Linked DNA regions of Astyanax mexicanus. The protein of the gene in region 1 interacts with the protein of each later gene in a biochemical or structural test. Links are inferred from orthologs where the notes say so. Each region holds a gene or a part of one and is shown in the gene's direction. Other genes may lie near its edges. The genes, in order: claspin and usp20.

What was found.
Region 2: of the proteins of claspin (region 1) and usp20, one has a biochemical effect on the other in vitro, tested with the Homo sapiens proteins (2 studies listed by BioGRID, with this or other methods). The link is inferred for Astyanax mexicanus from reciprocal best matches to the Homo sapiens genes CLSPN and USP20.

What each region holds. Positions count from the first base shown.
Region 1 is NC_064410.1:53,517,884-53,527,854, reverse strand, and holds the start of claspin, read left to right. Parts: upstream 1-5,458; 5' UTR 5,459-5,656; coding exon 5,657-5,680; intron 5,681-5,718; exon of another isoform or gene 5,719-5,741; intron 5,742-6,746; coding exon 6,747-6,861; intron 6,862-7,060; coding exon 7,061-7,395; intron 7,396-7,476; coding exon 7,477-7,638; intron 7,639-7,944; coding exon 7,945-8,004; intron 8,005-8,092; coding exon 8,093-8,165; intron 8,166-8,418; coding exon 8,419-8,521; intron 8,522-8,648; coding exon 8,649-9,172; intron 9,173-9,345; coding exon 9,346-9,534; intron 9,535-9,626; coding exon 9,627-9,781; intron 9,782-9,971. Other genes in the region: ago4 (protein argonaute-4), read right to left, coding at 2,230-2,248.
Region 2 is NC_064408.1:16,873,545-16,883,019, reverse strand, and holds the start of usp20 (ubiquitin carboxyl-terminal hydrolase 20), read left to right. Parts: upstream 1-4,721; 5' UTR 4,722-4,864; intron 4,865-8,026; 5' UTR 8,027-8,050; coding exon 8,051-8,131; intron 8,132-8,298; coding exon 8,299-8,352; intron 8,353-8,991; coding exon 8,992-9,054; intron 9,055-9,237; coding exon 9,238-9,372; intron 9,373-9,475. Other genes in the region: c1h9orf78 (telomere length and silencing protein 1 homolog), read right to left, coding at 397-594, 693-770, 896-966, 1,842-1,893, 2,018-2,077, 3,487-3,569.

The sequences.
Region 1 (9,971 bases):
TTGTTCATCAATGGTTGTATTTACCCAGTTAATCAAGCAATGCCATCTTTAAAGTACTTTACCATATTGTGATGAAATTAATATTATTGTGATACACAATGTGCTTCTAAATTTGTTATTGATTGGCAGTGCCAAAAACAAAGACCAACTGCATATTTGCATATATTATTACAAAGGAGTATCATTTCTGTTGACTAAGATGAGGCACAGCACCTTTAAAATAAAAATACTTGGTATTTCGTAGAATGTCATTTGGAAAGCGACTTTTATAAATCTGATTTAGATTCATGTTAACAATTGTACCATGTATTGTGACTTTTTAGAAAAGCAGCAGCTCATGCTGAAATGGTAACAGATAAACTGTTCCCTAAACTGTATCAGTGTGGTACATTGAGATGCAAAAGCAGCTCAGGCTAAATGGCTGCAACATCAATCCGTAGTGCTGAATGGCCAATCAGTAAATTTAGAATTAAAACCCATGTAGTAAATAGGGATGCACCAATCCAACTTGTTCAGTTACAATACAAATACAGATTAATAAATATTGTGCATCGATCAATATCTGATACTAATACAATACCACTGCTGAACTAATTACTTGTATACCCATGTGTGGGAGAGTTAACAACAGGGCATTTGTTAAGTTCAGGGCCAATATCTGATCCTAATACTGTATTAATGAATTAAAAATGCATTAATTGTACTTCTGTATAATTTCCAATTCTTACAGACACTAACCTCCTTTTATATTTATCTTTAATTAATCAGACAGGTATGTGTACAAAACAAAAACACTAGATCCATATCCATGTGCCTCCTCACATGTGTGTCAAATCAAAAGAAAGACAATAAATCACAACAAAGCTTGTGGACAATTCATGAAAGAACAATTTAAGACAAAATTAAATCTGTAACACACTAGTCAAGAGAAACTTGACCATTCGGGTAAACAACTAAACACAGGAGTGATTTCCATGTCTTTTTCTCTATCTACTCATTTTATAGTCTTTCAGTCTCAGTTTGTGGATATTTATTTTCTCACAAGTTCTGAAAAAAGGCCATCATGTTCACAGGCATATCTGTATGGATATTAGAGGTGTGCCATATTGTAATTTTGTAAAAATTGTAATAATAATAAAAAAAATTAATCCTAATAATATTGATAGTTATTGTCTGTAAAATTGTTATGCTGGAAGTATATATACAGGCAATACATAATAAAATCCCTGACATTACATTATTTTGATATGTTATTATTTTATATAAAAACATCAACAGTCTTTAAATTAATGCTGTTTACAAAATAAGACAAAAGTTTACAGGTTTGTTTGTTTCTGCTGGATTTTTGAAACTGTAATATTATAAACATTTATTGTGTTGCAGTAGTATATTCGAGAAATTAATCAAATATCAATTAAATGTCTGAGGTTTCTTGTTTTCATGTAGGCAAGAACATTGCTTTCTCGCAAAATAATCTAAAATATTGTGAAATTACATTGTTTTAGGGCCATATCGCCCACCCCTATTATGGAAACCATGTATGTTATTGTGAAACAAGCGTCGACATTATGTCCAGCATGGAGGGACCCTGTCCAGAGTGTGGAAGTGGCGCGGAAAGCCCTGTCAACACGGCGTCCAACACAGTATATCCCCCACTGACCATATTTAGCTAACTAGACCATGTGCTTGGAGCAGCAAGACTCAAATTAATGACTGTAGAAACGTGTAAAAATATCCTGGTCTCTTTCGTAGGGTTAAAATTTGATAAAAACCCATTTTGAGGCATAAATAACCTAAGCTACAAAACAAACGAGCACACAGCAGCGTATACAACACGACCAGGAAGAAAGAGGAGCTGCTTCGGTTAAATCCCCCTCCTCGCTCGGCAGCACAATGCCGTCCTGCTGCCTTCCGCACCGCTGTGTGTCTATGTGTTTGTGTGTGAAGCTGCTGCATTGCCGCGACGCTACACAACAAATACCTGCCCAGATGCCTCACACACACACACTTGTTGACCCTCTGACTACATTGTTAATCTTGTCTGTCTGTGATATAAACCAAACAAGCGGTTCTGGTTCAGCTGTGGCGAGCGGACGCGGCCCGACCGCCCCGTTTGTTTTCGCCTCTGCTCGGCTAGGCCTACTCGGGCAGCCGCAGACCACGGCCCCCAGTGAGGAGGCGCGCCGGCCTGCCTGCGCTGTCACTCGGCTTGACTCTTTTGCAGCTTACCGGGTCCGAGCGCTTCCATGGCCGAGGGCTCTCTCTCCGTCTCTGTCCCGGCCTGGCGGCTCCGTACCGACACTGAAATTGGGGGCGGTATCTCGAAGCTTAAGGTGACTAATTTGAGAAATGGAAGGATGCGTATAGCTCGTCAGGGGACCGAACTCGGGCTTCGCTGCGTTGTGTGATTTAAAGCGGATCCGTGGGATTTGTAAGTGCGCATGTGCTGGAGCTGGGAGGGTCCTAACGCGCATGCGCGCTTCTGGAACCTTAATGGTAAAAGCTGCGGTTCCAGGCAAGCCCCCAGCTGTAGTTTTTTTCTTTGGAAATATATTTTAAATACATTTTTAAACTTACTTACAAAATCAAACAAACTATCAACATACAAAAGTGATATTAAACACAACATATTACAGATGATACACTACTGATAATTATAGTAAATAAAAATCTGTAAAATAATCCCATAGTGGATTTATCTTCAGGCAATCCCAATTATTGACAAGATAAAGATAGGGTGACCATATTTGGTTAAATACATGTGTTAATAAATATATAATACAATTCTATATTATTCTATATGAAACAACATTATGCTAGGTCTTAACAGAGGGAACCATATCACTTATCCAAGACAATAAGATAAACGCCCTTGCTCCATAAAGCTGCAGGTTGAATAATGTACAGGTAGAAACAAATAGATATATACTTTATCCATCCAGAAGGAAATGTAGGCATACAGTAGCTTGAAACAACACAATGCAATAAATATGCTCAGGGAACACACAGGAGAGAAGATAGCTAGATATACAAAGGGTATAATGAAAACTTTGGTAGAGCAGTGCAGCAGAAGATGGCGCAATCGTCCAATTAACAATCTACACAGCAAAAGTGCAAGATGCAAATGACATGTACCCATATGTGCATACCCATTCACACGTTTAGATGAGTAAATGCCACTGTAGTTTGACTGCACCAGAGATTAGAGGAGGAACGAAATGCCTAATGGCTCGTTAATGGCTCTGAGGGAAGGACTTAGGCGGACAGACCACATATTTACACAAAAAAAAGATTTAGGTAACCAATTAAGGTAACTTAATATTGCAGCATATATAATAGCTGATTACTCTAGTTACGTATTAATTAACTGTAGCATAAAGCGAATGGTATGGTAGAGTGCAGTTCACCTTATCACGCTACACTTCTAATAATAAGTCCACAAGCAGTTAACTTAACGCGCATGCGCGCTACTGGTGAGTATTGGCGTTCCAGGAAAGCCATCGGCTGCAGTTTTAATAAGTTACAGCTTGAAAAGGGAGGATTCAAGTGGACCGACCCCACACAGTTTACACAGGAAAAAAGCTATTGTCTATAAGGTAATGTTGCAGCATATATTGTAGCTAGGAATTTACACACATCTGCTGCAAATAAACAGAGGAGGTTGGTGGAGTGAAGTGTAGTGGACACCACGCCACGCCAATAGGAGTTCTTGGGCAAGACTCCCAACAATACATTCTCTTACGACTGTAAATGTAAGTTACTCAGTATAAGAGCAGCAACCAAATGCTGTAAATGAAAATGTAAGTATAAAATCTGTGGAACACTAGTTGTGGGGCGCAATTCCTTACCTGTTCAAAGCCAGCAATGAAGATTGTAAAACTTATTTGATATTTGATGGAAAGTGCCTCAGTCTTTTTTCCATACTGACTTAATTACCGGCTTGTAAGCGTTTAATTTGACTTATGACTGGGCAGATGTCTTTGTTTGTCCTTTGCAACAAACCGAAAAACAGGGGTGAGCAATGTCTTCATCCAGTAAGAAACATCAGTGGTATGCACTTAACATGTGTTGAGTGTGGATAAGACTAGGCTAACAACTAGTTAATGTACAAACAGTTTTTGTAATGAATTGAAAATATTTGTTAAGTATTTAAATTTTTAAAAGTCTGTGTTCATTAGATTTTAAAAAAAGAAATTGTCAGTTTAGAAACCTTTAATGCGTGAATAGGCTAAGCTGTTTTAGCTTAAAAGCTGATAGCACCTTAACTTACGTTTTTACTGTAGATCAATGTTATGCATTCCCCCCAAGTAGAATTTCTAATTTCTGTTGTTTTACGATATGTTTATTGTTAAAATGAGATATACTGATCTGTAAAGTTATCTTGATTCAGTGGTATTGCTAAGATGACAAATATGTAATTTGACCAGTCACATTGCCAGGAAGACATCCTTATGTATTTTTTACCAATACAGTCTAAATTGTAACTATTGCAAGTGCTAATTTATTTATATGCAATGAAGATATTTGTAGTAAGTTTAAGATCTCCAAAATGTTTTTGGTAAGGTATCGCTAGTAAAATAACTAGTCAAATAGGACTGTCAGAATGATTTTTATAGATATGTAGTAGGGCTGAGTGATCTTGTAAAAATATTATGTCATATGTTCTTGCATAACAACTTCAGTTTTTTATTATTTGTGGACAGGCAGCTTTTTTTGCCAATACACCTCCCCCCTTACATGCAGGTTTTTTTAAACACATTGCATAAATAACCTCCTTGTATTTCAGTTACGCAAAAGTGTAAAATATGAAAATCACTGCCATGGAAAAGAGTTCTTTACACATTTCTGACAGAAGCACAAACCTGCCTACTGTGATTCCCTCTGGCAGCTTATAATGTAAATATGTACAATCTCGAATATCCCATTTTGAAAATCACATTAAAACAGTGTGTGTGTGTATATATATATATATGTATATATATATATATGTATATATATATATATATATACATATATATATATATATATACATATATATATATATGTATATATACATATATATATATATATATATATATATATATATATATATATATATATATATATATGTATATGTATATATACTTTTAGTAACATTAGTCATTATCTGTACATCTGATATTATTATTAATATTACTAGTAAAATAATTCACCTTTGGTATCTGAAATTAGCACTTTTTCTATTAGGAAATCCTATTGCAGAGGTTTTAAAGTTTAGTTTTACCAGTAAAAAGATTTATTTTTATACAGCAGCAAAACAACACAATGAGCTATTGAAAACAACGCGCGCTTCCTATTTTAAAGATCTGCCCAATCAGCGCGAATTTAGCACGCTGGGGATCCGGTTGACCAATCAGAGAGCTCGGCAGCGTTGACGGACGGGAGCAGGAGAGGCACGGCTGTGCTGCGCGCGAAAGGTTGAAATTGTATTCGGTTTGGAGGATCCGGCGGGAGAGGAGCTCCGGTTTCGCGCTTTACTGATCTATTATTTAAAGTTCTCGGGTAGATATCGCGCGAATTAGTCGCTGTCGGGTTAACTGCTGTTTTTAGCCGCTGCTGGAGACGGTTTCTGCTGTTTTGATGAGTTTTAACACCGAATAAAAGAAGCGGACAAAAGATGAGCCTGCTTTCCGCCGAACGGGTAACTATAACTATCACGCAGCCGGGGACGGGCAGATGTATATCAGAGCTATGTTAAATATGTAGGTTATTATGTAGAAATTTTGTGCTTTTTAACTTTGGAAACGCATATAGTTAGGTTGCTAACTGTTGTCACATTAATCACACGTAGGTTAGCCAGCTAGCTAGGTAACCTAGCTATTTGACTTGGCTTGGTGGGTAGCAAGTTAGCTAGGTTAGCTATTTTGTTAGCTCGCTCGCTAAAGGCTGGTTAAATCTCTTTGTTAGCTTGTTTGCTAGCTATATTTTGGATTAATTAAATTGTTTGTCAGTTTATTGTACATTAATTCACAAATGCTGCTCCTGTTTGTACTATAGCTGAAGGTCAGTTAATCTCGGTTAGCTATAACTAGGGGTTTACGTGTGTACAAGGTGCTTGTGGGCTACATGAAGGTTAACCATTCAGCTCCCAGAATGCAAAACAAATAAAGACAAGTATCTATCTTATACTATTGATTTAATGGTAAAGTAGAAAAAGTGGATGGCAATTTGTAGTTGTTCTGCAGTGTTATGTTTAAATAATAGTTCATTTCTTCACATGATTGACCTTAATAAATAGATCAGTTTATTAATCCCAGATGATACAAAATTGGTAACCAGCAGATTAGCAGATGCAATCTTTAGATAAGAAGTGTACGGTCAAAATCTATATAAGAAAAAGAAAAATACAGGAAATATTGTGTAAGCTAGCTACAAAGTAGTATAAAACAGTATATAACAGAAAGTGTCTGCATTGTAAAGATTCAGTCATGTACAACCTGAATGAATGTACATGGTAAAAACGGTGGAATGATCTTTAGTACAGTATGATTACTGTTGTTAAAAAACAATCTCCAGTACCATTAATCAGGCTTATTTACTATAAATGTGTAACTGTAAGGATTTTTCACCAACCTTATCACTATCTCTCTTGTCTTTTTGGCCAATCGACCAGACACCTTTGTGTTTATTATCTGCCAGCCTAATTTTTACATTTAAAAAGTAACATAAATATCTTTTTAACACTGACTTCAATGTTTGCTCTACAGCCCGTGGATCTCCCTGTAGAGAGCCCCAAGGCTGACAGTGACTCAGACAGTGGAGTAGGTTCACCAATGGAGGATGCTGTGACTGAAAAGAACACTGCCACTGAGGCCCAAGGAGGTAATCTAAAAGTACTAAAAGTATTTGTGTGCAAGTAATTTAAAATTTGCTTTCTGAAACAGGAAGTCTATGTTATGATGCACATTTTGTGTTCTCTAGTTTTGCCAGTATTATTTACAGGCTTTTATAAAGCTAGGACATGGCTATTTTCAGTCTGTCATTGTATTATAAAGACTTATTTTACTATTTTGTGCTCCAGATTCTGATGAAGACATTGCTGTCAACCGGAAGGCTCGTTCTCGAAAGGTCCTTGAAGACAGTGACAGTGAAAAGGAGGAGGAGGTGACAGGGATGGCAGAAGCTCTCGTTCTTTCAGAATCTGGTGAGGAGGAGACCACAGAGGGTGATCGAGTCAAAAAAAGCCGGGGGAAAAGGATATCCCGTATTTCCATGGACAGTGATGAGAGCGAGCCAGAGAAAGATGAACCTAAGGAAGAGAAGAAAAAGAGGGGGAAGTCACAGAGACGCAAGGAAAAGGAGAAAAACAGAGGTTCTCTAGTGAAGCGTTTGAAAGAGAAGTCGGGCGCTGTTGAAGTAAGTTAAATTTAATCATTTCTGAATTAAGTATCAAAATATGTAGTCCATTTTTGACCATAATTAATTCTCTATTTTCAGGCGACCTCTTCGGGCAAGGCTCTCAATGATAGCGGCTGCCTACTTGGTGATAATGATCTATTTGATGCTCAGCTGGAAGATGACACAGCTGATGGGGAGATGGAGGAAGCAGAGTCTCTAGATGCAATTAGAGATGCTGTGAAGCAGAAGGCCAGGCACAAGGTGGGAACAGGGTACTTTCCTGAAGGGTATCAGTTCTGATCTAGAACCTGCTTTTATGTTAAGTAGTAATGTTTGCAGGGAATTTGAAGAGAAGTGGGCATATAAGGAAATTTGAATTCACCAGTTAGGGTGTACGATATAGAATAAATATCACAATATTTGTACACAATATTTGTGATTGTAAACAAAATGTATGATTATCATTAGATTCTTAAAGGCTGCTACTCAAAAACTGTACTGTGTTTAGTACAGTGATTGTCCCAAATTCACTTTAAAATGACAGTTATTTGTTTAACCTACCTGCAGCTCCATTCTCATGACATGGAAGATGATGAAGTCAATGAAGAAGACTGCTCGACGCGTAAGGTATAAGGCGCTTATTTGTCTTTCTTTTTTAACTTCCCCTTCTCCACTGTTAATTTGTGAAGCTAATTGATTTGGATAATGTTCTCAGGAGAGAAAAGCAGCAAGAGCAAGTAAGGAGGCCATGAAACAGCTCCACAGTGACAGCCAGCGGCTTGTGAGAGGTTAGTAAATAGCTGATAAGTGGGTGAATCATTCCCATTTTAATCGCTTTTTAGTCACATGCATATGCTTGGACTGATGGTTTAGACAATTAAATTAGCCACTATTAAAGATATGAAACTTATTAGAATTATATAACTGTACAGAAGCATTTGATGGGCTTTTTGTTTTTCTAAACTGTAATTTAACATGTGATTTGGGTACTGAGGTTCTTTTTAAGCTCTTACTAATCTTGTGGTATCTCTTTGTTTTCAGAATCTACTATAGGGCTACCATACCACATGCCGGAGCCAAAGGGCATTGACCATTTCTTTAAGAGGAGAAATCGTCCTGAGGGCCCTGCTATGGTTTTGTTAAAGTATGTTTAGCATTACATTGACATGTGTCTACCAAAATGCATTAAGGGTCATAGCTAGTGGGTGGACGTTTTATATATGACAAAGTTTTTGATTTTCTAACATGATTTCTGTTTTCCTTTCATCAAGGTCTGCAAAATACCAGACCTGTCTCTCTGAAGCACCTGCCTCTACCACCCAGAGCCAAGTAAAACCATCTGAGCAGAACTCAAGCCCTCAGGCTGGCGCATGCCCGGACACACAAGACCCAGACGGCTGCACCCAGAAGGAGGGTACGACAAATAATGAGGAAAGTCAAGCTGCTGATGGAATTGCTGAGAACCAGTCAGGCACTAAAGCAAATGCCGAGCTCCAAAGCATGGAGGTTACAGAGGAAGAGGGTGCTCATCCTACTGTAGAGGTGCCTGAGGGGGCTGGATTAAACAAACAGGGCCATGAGAAGCCACAGGTTCCAGTTCAACAGGCTGAGCCTGAGACAGGAAATTTGGAGCAAGCTGGCTCTACCTTTGCTCAGCCAGGTTCAGTAGTACCCAAAACCAAGAAGGATAAACTGACTAGACTGCGTGAGCTGGGTTTGGAGCCTCCTCCAGTTGCAAAGCTATGTGCCGATGATGGTGCTTTCATCCAGCTGGAACCTGCGCAGGCAAACCCAGGTGAGTGAGCAATGCAATTGAAATTTTATGTATATTTGCATCACTGATGTGACATATTTCAGGATGGTAAATCTGTCCACATTAGGTTTAGTTTTAGTCAGTTACTATTGTATTAGGCTGATGGTCTAAAACCACCATTTACATGCACTCAAAGTAAAATGCTCTGTTTTCAGCTTTGGAGGCTCTTAAGGAGCGTTTTCTGCGACATATCCAGCCAGCTCCACGTCCTGCAAAAGAGCGCTCAATAAATATAAACGTGGTGAGAAAGGACAGTACCTCATCTGGCCAGGAGGAGCTACATTCTGAGTCAATCACTGTAACAGTGAATGAAGGGAAAGAGGAGCCTATACACGCTAAACCAGGTACATTTAATAATGTTATCTTTGCATACTTGGTACTGTGGAGTTTCTATAACCTTATATGTACTCTTAAAATTGTCATTCTCTGTCTTAAGGAGAGAAGCTGGTTCAGCTAAAGTGTCAACTGCAGAAAGCCATGGCTGTACGGCGTCAGGAGGAAAGAGAACGCCGGGCTGCCCTCCATCGCCTGGACAATGAAGACTGTGAGGATGAGGAAGAAGCCGAGATGACCGATTCTGAAGATGAAGAGGTACTAATGCAGAGAATCTTATTTCAGTATAAAATCACACACTTCATTGCTGTCATGCTGAAATGATTAATAGAAATGACATTTATTACATTGGCTTTCAATAAATATTTAAGAAGTGTTTTTTCTTCCTCCTGCGAAATGGTAATTTTGTTTCTGTTCTGATCCTTGGTATACTGCATGAGTGCATGTG
Region 2 (9,475 bases), on another chromosome or scaffold:
TGTTCTTTGTGATGGGAACCGTGGTGCTGAATGTTCTTAATCTGTAGATTATCTGCTTTAGAAGGAGAGACATTTCAGCAGTTGTTTTTTCACCTCTTCTAGCTTGATGTGCTTCAAAAACTCTTTTTTCTGTGTGTGCAGGAATGTTCTCTGTTTGATGCATGATACACTTCCAAAATCAAGACTTGAATGAGAGTGAGGACCAACGTTTATGTTCTTGTAACAAACCTTGTAACCATTTCAGTTATATTATACTTTTTACTCTTAAAGGTTGCCAAACTTTTTCAACAAATATGTAATGTTGGATCATTTTACTATAAAATATTTAGCTTTTTTTTATTCTTTTTTCCAGATCAATTAAGTCCTTAAAATAGGAAACCATTCATTTGCACTTACTCAATTCCCAAGTCCACCTCTGGAATGCCACTAAGCATCTGATTGGACAACATCTCTTCTGTTTTTTTGGCAGAATTAACACGGATGCTCTCTGGCAGCTCATACAGGAGGTCCTCTGCATTCTTTGCCTTGATCTTCTGCTCTTCTGCCTCCACTAAACCCTTCTTTTTCTTCAGCTCTGTTTCAATGTACTTCATCCTGAATGGCAGGGAAACAAGCAATGTGTTTGACAAAGAAACAAACAATGAAGAAAGCATTAGATGTGATATAATGCATATACAGGTGTGCATACATACATATCTGCATCTTCATCTCTTCTGTTGGTCTCTGCAGAGAAGGAGGTTCCCAGGTTCAGGTCATTTTCATCCTCAATTCTGGAATGCATACATAGGATAAATTATATATATATAATCTTGTGCACACACATATGTTCACAGTAATAAAATCTACTAACCAAGACAGGCTATTTGATACTATTTTTGATACATTTTAGACTTACTTGTCTCTGTTTCTGTCTTTCACTTTCTTCATGTCCACAACACCTCCTGTCTTGAGCTTAAATGGATCATCCTAGAATAAAGAAGATTAACAACATTAGTTTCCAATAAACTTCTGTACATTTAATCAATTCCGCATTCAGTATAAAATTTATTTATGTATACTAGCTATGTAATAGAACATGAATAAATACTATAAAAATCAAGCAGCATTACACATTGTATTGTAACCACTAGCATGTTAGCTAAAACATGTGGCTAAAAGATAAGGTCTCTGGGAGAACATTTACATTACAATACACAATTACAGGATTTTGTTCAAAAATTGTACTCCTACAATGTTAAAAGATTCTAATAAATATTTAAAATGTTTCTAATAAAAATAACTTGATATAAACAGATCTGCCATAACAATAACTAACAACTCCACACAACCTTAGATGCTCTGAGGTGGAACCTCCATCAATCACATCAATGAACCTTACGTGTCTATGACCCTGTTGCCAGCTCTCTGGATGTCTGCAATGTAATGGCCACTGCATACTATAAAATCTGAGGTTTTTGAGATGTTTAAACCCAGTCATCTAGCCAGCACAACTACCATAGTGAACCCTAAAGATCTTAGTGAAAGTGGCTCAGATCCTTAGCCTTCTCATTTCCTTCTGGTTTTAACACATTAACTGTGAGAACTAACTGTTCTTACCCATCAAAGATGCTACTGTGGATGACAATCGATATTGATGAACTGAGATGTTCTGCTGCAGTTCTTTAAGGCACTTTAAGGCACTTTCAGGCATTTGAGAGGCTTGGGCTTTGATTTGAGTCTTTATTTCAACACAACAGGTGTTGGGATACTCTATTTGTTTCAAACACTGCCACATTCGCAACTAAAGTCTAAAGTCTGTAAATCCATAATTTACACATGTAAAAATGCACATGCAAGCTTACCTCAACCTCTGCTTCCAGCGGTAACTTTTCTCCCACAAGCAATGCTGTCAAACTGTGGAGAAGGATATAAAACATGGTCTAGAAAGCTAGGTTCCCACTGTAGTCATAATATCAAACAATAACGACAATCACAAACAATTAATAGTAGATAAAGGTTATCTTAAACACTTGCATACCTCACGCCACTCTGTCTCTTCCGCAAACTCTGAAGTTCTTTTGCTTCATCCAGTTTCGCCCTGCGGATTTAGTCGTAAGCACAAGATTAGCTCAGACTGCAGACTCTTCAGATATAGAGTAGCAGATTTTAAAGGAAGCTTTAAACCCAACAGCGTGACTCTGACTGTCAGCATTCTTTCCTAAGGGTACTCTCTCAGGTGAGCCTAAATCTAGGGTGCTTGCTGACACTGCTGAACAACATAATCCATTAAATGTACACCACTTCTCCTGTCCCATTTTACTCAGTGAAGATGAGTAGCTAAAGCTACATCCGGTACTCTGCCAGAAGACATTTTAGCCTGAAATGCAATCTTAACCATGCGCCGTAACAAGTTCAAGGTATGTACATGCAGTAGAATTTCGAATTTGAGATATGATTTATAACATGTTTAACAGTAATAGTATCAGACTTACATATTAATAACCATATAATCTATCTAGGGTTTTAGTAACTAAAAACATTGTTACTGCTTTATAAAACTAGAATTTTTGTAATATTATAGATTTTTAGAAAGGAAAATGTGCCATTTCTTAACTTCATCCATTACTTAAAAAAACACTTATTATATTTTATTGTCCTGGGTCATTGTCCTGTTGCAAGACCCATGACCTGCGACTAAGACCAAGCTTTCTGACACTGGGCAGCATATTTCTCTCTATAATCTTTTGATAGTCTTTAAATTTTATTGTACCCCGCACAGAATCAAGACACCTTGTGCCAGATGCAGCAAAGAAGCCCCAGAACATAACAGAGCCTCCACCATGTTTCACAGTAGGGACAGTCTTTTCTTGATATGCTTCATTTGTCCATTTTAAACAAAGAGCTAATGTGCCTTGGCAAATTTTTTTTTTTCTGTCCATAGTATATCCCACGTCCAAAACATTTAACATGCTTCTGTATATGTATATATATATATTTTTATTTCCTGAGAGAAACTCTTTCCTTCGCTTTCTCTGGTCCATGTTGTGTGGTACACACCATGTCACCAAACAGCACAGTGACCTGTAGCCCTATATTTGGCCCACTACATTGTAAGTTTAATATTAAAGATATTTAAGTTACACATAAACATAGGCTGAATTATTTTGTAAAAAGAAGTTAATTTTATAAACAAACACAATATGTTTTATACTTTAGATTCTTCTAAGTACCACATTTAGCTTTTAGATTTACTAGATAGCAGGAAGCTAGTTTAACTTAGACATCTTAAATACTCTTAAATTACAAAATATATTTTAGCTATATAATGCCGATCTGTACTTAATATTCCCAAAGAGTCAGCAAAACGCAGCTCTATCTACAGTTAAGAATTGTTGTTAGCTTTTTATGCTAGGTTAGCTACCCTAGCTTAAGTTAGTTAACTCGCTAGTTCTCGAGCTAACGTTAACCAAACGTTTGTTTACAGTGTAGATCCAGCCGATAGCCCACCTGACTTCAGATGTGACCTCGTTGGATTCCTCTTCATCTGAAGACTCTTCTTTTCTTCTTCGGAAGCTTCTCCCCGCTGGCATGATCACCTTTATACTAATTATCTCACAGCTAACTGTGTAACTAAAGCCGCTACTGCTGCTGGTGTTACTAACTGTACTAACCCTCCGCCCGCTTCACTCCGCAAACCTGCCCCGCGAAAACTCGTTCCCACTCAGATTTGTGTTCCTACCTAAACAACAGCAGCAGCATGAAAATTCAAACTTTGCATATATTACTTTTACCTTTTTGTTATCATATTTGATACAGCTTGATTACTTACTAGCAAATCTAGAACATATATTTGTTTAACCATGAAATGTCTTTAAACTTCACTTTAGTAATTCTAAAGGTATATATTGTTATTACTTATATATTGTCTAAGAATTATTTAGGATTGATTTATTTATTATTATACTATCCTGTAAATGTTGTTTTGTTTAAGTCATTTGTTTGGTTGAATTTCATTATATTTAGTTTTATGACATTAGTTTTGGAGTTCATGTCTAGTTTGGATGTTCTTGGACATTTGGACAGAAACATTAAATGTAAATAACTGTTAATCGTAAATATGTAAATGTAATTGACTGTATTTTAATGTAGTTTGTATTTAGATACACACATACATACATACATACGTATATTAATTTATTTATTTACAAATATATATATATATATTTATTTAATGTAATTTGTACAAAATATGGAAATATCCCTGATTGCATTGTAATGTAATTAGAATGTACACTATTTAATCAAATATATATATAGTTAACTATCATAGCTAAATAACAGTGTGCAGTATATATATTATATTATATTGCATTATTTTGTAATTTGTATTTACATTATTTAATTAAATATATAAATATATACATTCATTAATTATAAAAAAAATTGTTGTTTGTAATATTTTGTAGTTATTTTTATTGGGATGTCGTTAACATTATATGTGCATAACTGCTAATCGTGTACACATAATATGTTATTGATTGTATTGTAGTGTAATTTGTATTTACATTAATTAATTAAGTAATTAAATAAATCAGTAAATACATTTATAAATTAAAAATAATGTTGTAGTTCTTTTATTTATTTTTTATTTGTATTCATTAGTCACGAAATAAAATAATAAAATAAGTAAAGGAAAATAAATAATGAATAGTGTGGGATTGTTGTTGTGGGGGGGAGGCGGAGCTGCCTGGCTCTGCTCTGTGCTCTCTGTGCTAGTCTCTGTTAGCCTGCTGGCTAGCGCAGTGAGATCCTCAGGAGATCGGGAGATTTTCATTTAGACGGAAAATGAACACATTTCAGCCTTTATCCTGGACGCGCTGAGGAGGTAAAGGCTGTATTTAACGCTCCACCTGGATTAATATGGATGTCATTGTGTGTTTTAATGCGTTTTCATGTTTATTTAGCTAGGCTAGCTGAGTCTCTGTGTAATAGGTAACGGTGAGAGAGAGAGGGGTAACGTTAGTTAAATGGCCTCGGCTATGTTCAGACTGAGCTGAGAAAGGTTTATGAGGTTTTATGTGAATATTGTTGATGTATAATTGATCTAAAACACTGTAATTATCCATATTTAACATTATGGTTGAAGCAGTGATGTTGGTTGAGTCAGAATTAGCTAACTTACGTTATATTCCCAGTGGCTGTGCTGTAGGTACTTTGTATAGATATATAGCTATATTGGCTTTATCTTTATTTTTGTGACCATGTAGTCTGAATGTGGCGTATTCAATCAAATTCACAGCGCAGTTCAGCCCTGAGAACCGGGCTGTTTTGTAAAGGTGAAGAACAGCTGCTTGTGTTGAGCTCATGGCTGCTTGGAGGACGTAGTTATCCGTGCCAGGCGAATGAAGCAGCAGTTTGTGTTTTTGTGTGGATTTTTTTTATGTGTGTGTGTGTGTGTACGTGTGTACCTTGTGTTTTATCTTATTTATAAAATTCTAAACACACACACACACACGATTTGCTTTAGTACTTTAGTTACTAGTCTTGTTTTTTGCATTGGCTAAACAATAAGCATCCCCCACACAACACAGAGCTTATAACCATATTCAAAATAAACACTCACAAAATATATATTTTGTGATTACATCTTTTACCCACAACAACATCTTATGCAAAAATTGTATTTCAATTAGGGCTCAGCAAATTGGACCAAAAATAATACCTCAATATTTTTTCAGTGAATGACGATATACAATATATATCTTGATTTTATTGAATCCCATAAGGTAATAACACAAAGACACTTCTGAGACAAAGCTACATTACTCACCATTAGTAAATTTAGCATTCCATTTGGAAATCAAGGGACCAGAGTCCAAAGGAAGAGTGGAGAAGCACTCTGGTAGTTACAGTCATATGAAAAAGTTTGGGCACCCCTATTAATCTTAATCATTTTTAGTTCTAAATATTTGGGTGTTTGCAAAAGCCATTTCAGTTTGATATATCTAATAACTGATGGACACCGTTCTGATGGACACAGTTCTTACCAAGAACTGTCCCTATGGTCTTCCATTTCCTTACTATGTTCCTCACAGTGGAAACTGACAGGTTAAATCTCTGAGACAACTTTTTGTATACTTCCCCTGAACAACTATGTTGAACAATCTTTGTTTTTAGATCATTTGAGAGCTGTTTTGATGAGCCCATGATGCCAATCTTCAGAGGAGATTCAAATAGGAGAACAACTTGCAATTGGCCACCTTAAATACCTTTTCTCATGATTGGATTCACCTGGCTATGAAGTTAAAAGCTCAATGAGGTTACCAAACCAATATTGTACTTCAGTAAGTCAGTAAAAAGTAGTTAGGAGTATTCAAATCAATAAAATGATAAGGGTGCCCATACTTTTGCACCGGTCAAATTTTGGTTTAATGCATATTGCACATTTTCTGTTAGTACAATAAACCTAATTTCAATCCTATATTATTATATAATATAATATTACTGTGTCCATCAGTTCTTATATATATCAAACTGAAATGGCTGTTGCAAACTTTAGAACTAAAAATGATTAAGATTAATAGGGGTGCCCAAATCATCAACAACTGAAAGGCAAGTTATATTACACAGATTCATTGTAAACAACAGCCTTTTCAAATAACAGTTTTCTTCCACAGTTAAAGTATCCCAAAAAGAAGAGACACAAAAAGTTCAGTGTGCTCTTTGAAAAAAGTAAATCTAAAGTTAAAAAAGAGGCTCTCCAGTAAGAAGTACAAAAAAGGGCATGGCAAAATAATTGCGACTAATCAACTAATCGAAAAAATAATCGTCAGATTAGTCGACTAGTAAAATAGTCATTAGTTTCAGCCCTACTGCACAGCAATGCACAAAGCAATGTCAAGACATGGATGATTGAGTTTGGTGTGGAAGAACTTGACTGGCCTATAGAGTCCTGATCTCAAACCGATAAAATATCTTTCGAATGAAGTGTGGAGACTGCGAGTCAGGCCTTCTCATCCAACATCAGTGTCTGACCTTCCAAATGCTCTTCTGGAAGAATGATCAAAAAATCCCGTAAACACACTCCTAAACCTTGTGAAAAGCCTTCCTAAAAGATCTAAAGCTGTTATAGCTGCACAGTGTGGGCCAACATCATATTAAACCCTCTGGATTAACAAAGGGATGTCACTAAAATTCATATACATGCGAAGGCAGGCAAGTACCGGTAAATACTTTTGTCATTATAGTGTATATACCATAAAACCACTACAGTATGAATGTTTCACTTATTAAGCTGCAAAAATGTATTTCATTTTGCCTTACATGACATTGCACATACTGTGATATGACTACTGTGCATACCCGCATGGTGATGATGATGTTGAAATGTTATGTTGGTGTAGCGGTGTGCATGTCCAGCCTAGGAATCAAACCCCACATTTCAGTCACAGGGAGGGTGGTGATGTTATGCCACACCACCATAAGGTCTCTATAGTCCTATATTTAAAAAATTGGAAACTTGTTGGTTGAAGTTGTTAGGTTGTGTTATGTTTTGATTTAGTAAGTTTTAATAAGCTAAATACTGTACAGCAAACTTATTTATTTATTGTACTTGAAAATTGGGCAAGAAAATAAATGTATAGCATACTGTCACATACATGATACAAATAGAAACGAGATGCTTTAATGACTTTCTGATCACAATAATGAGATAATAATAAGATCTAATGTGCAAGAATAATCTGATAAAAAAAATAAGATAATAAGAAAACACAAAGTGTGCTCTCTCTAATGGGATTTGTTGTTGTCAGTAGGAAATCCATTCATAGCTTGACCAGGGTTGAATAGAACGATATTACAGTTGAGTACAGTGATTGGACTAAACTGGACTGAAGCCATCTTATTGTCTTACTCTATCTGTAACCCTTAGTGTTAAATGAGGCCAGCTGTCGTTTCTGCAGAATGCAGTATTGTAATCACAGTTAAACACACACACACACAGTCACTCAGTGCTGCTCTTTTAGCTCTGTTCTTTTCTCTCTTTCAGGCTGAGTCACTCTAGGACCAAAAGATGACAGACAGTAGAGATGTTTGTCCTCACCTGGACTCTATAGGTGAAGTGACCAAGGAGGAACTTCTGCATAAATCAAAGGTAAGGCTGTACTCAACAGCCCAACTTCACTCTGCAATTTTTATATTTAAAAAAATAGAAGAGTGATTCATATACTGCAGTTTACTGCTCAATCTGTGACTTATTTTATTAAATAAAATACAGTACAACATGTACCCTTGTTTTAATGTTTATTTTTTTCCATTTAGGCTACCTGTCAGTCATGTGGAGTGGGTGGCCCCAACCTCTGGGCATGCCTGCAGGTTAGGAAAGTTTTTTTCTAGGCTTAACCCATGTCCAAGAAACGTGTCTAGTCTTTGGTTCAGGCTCTTATTGGCATATCTAAGTGATACATTTTTTAATAATACTATTTGAACCTAGACTGCACTGGATTATGTTGTTTAAGATGGTAAAATCATTTAATTCCTTTAAAAAACAAAACAAATTCACACCAACTGCCCATGTGTCATCTGTTTTAGAATTAAATCACACGCAGATGGTAACCAACAGATCAGGGATAACATTACAGATTTGATGCATTTTTTATATCTTGTATGAAGTATTTATAATATATTGCCCAGCCCTAATACCACACTACCGCTACTTTACATAACAAAAAAGACAATTTGAGTAAAGGGTGCTGAACTGGATTTATTGAGAATCTTTTATATTTTTAACTTATCATAGCAATAGTATACAGTAGAAATAAAAGGCCACCAGTGGACCCCAGTTAAAAAGGGTGCATTTACTTATGTACATGTGTAACAACTGTGCTACAACTTAGATAAGATTTTTTATATTGTTGTTTCCTTATTGTCAGATCATTTTGAACAAGAAATCTCATGAGTTATTGATTATATTTACTCTGAATAGAGTAATAACACATTTTCCTATTTCTTTAGTGTGACTGTCCGTATGTGGGCTGTGGCGAGTCATATTCAGACCACAGCACCACTCATGCCCAGGTAACTATGAATTTCTTTACTTTTATAATGGTCAAAAATAATGGAAATGTTAAATACATACATATTTTATGTTGTGTTTATTTATTTAATTTATTTTTTATTATTTGACATCAGGATAATCAGAGATAAAGCTCTAGTATTGTATTTAATCACTTATTGGCCTCCCTGTCCCTCTTCATCTAGGCAAAGAAGCACAATCTGACTGTGAATCTGACCACGTTCAGGGTGTGGTGTTACGTGTGTGAGAGAGAAGTGTTTCTGGAGCAACAGCCTGTAGTGCCGGTGGCTGGAACTCATCGCTACAAACCTCTTGACCAGGTGCAAACTTACCACCCTTCCTACCCTGACATCAGTGGTGTAGTTGTGCATGTATTGTATAGGTATACTGTGCCATCTATGGTATTCTTATCCCAACATTTCC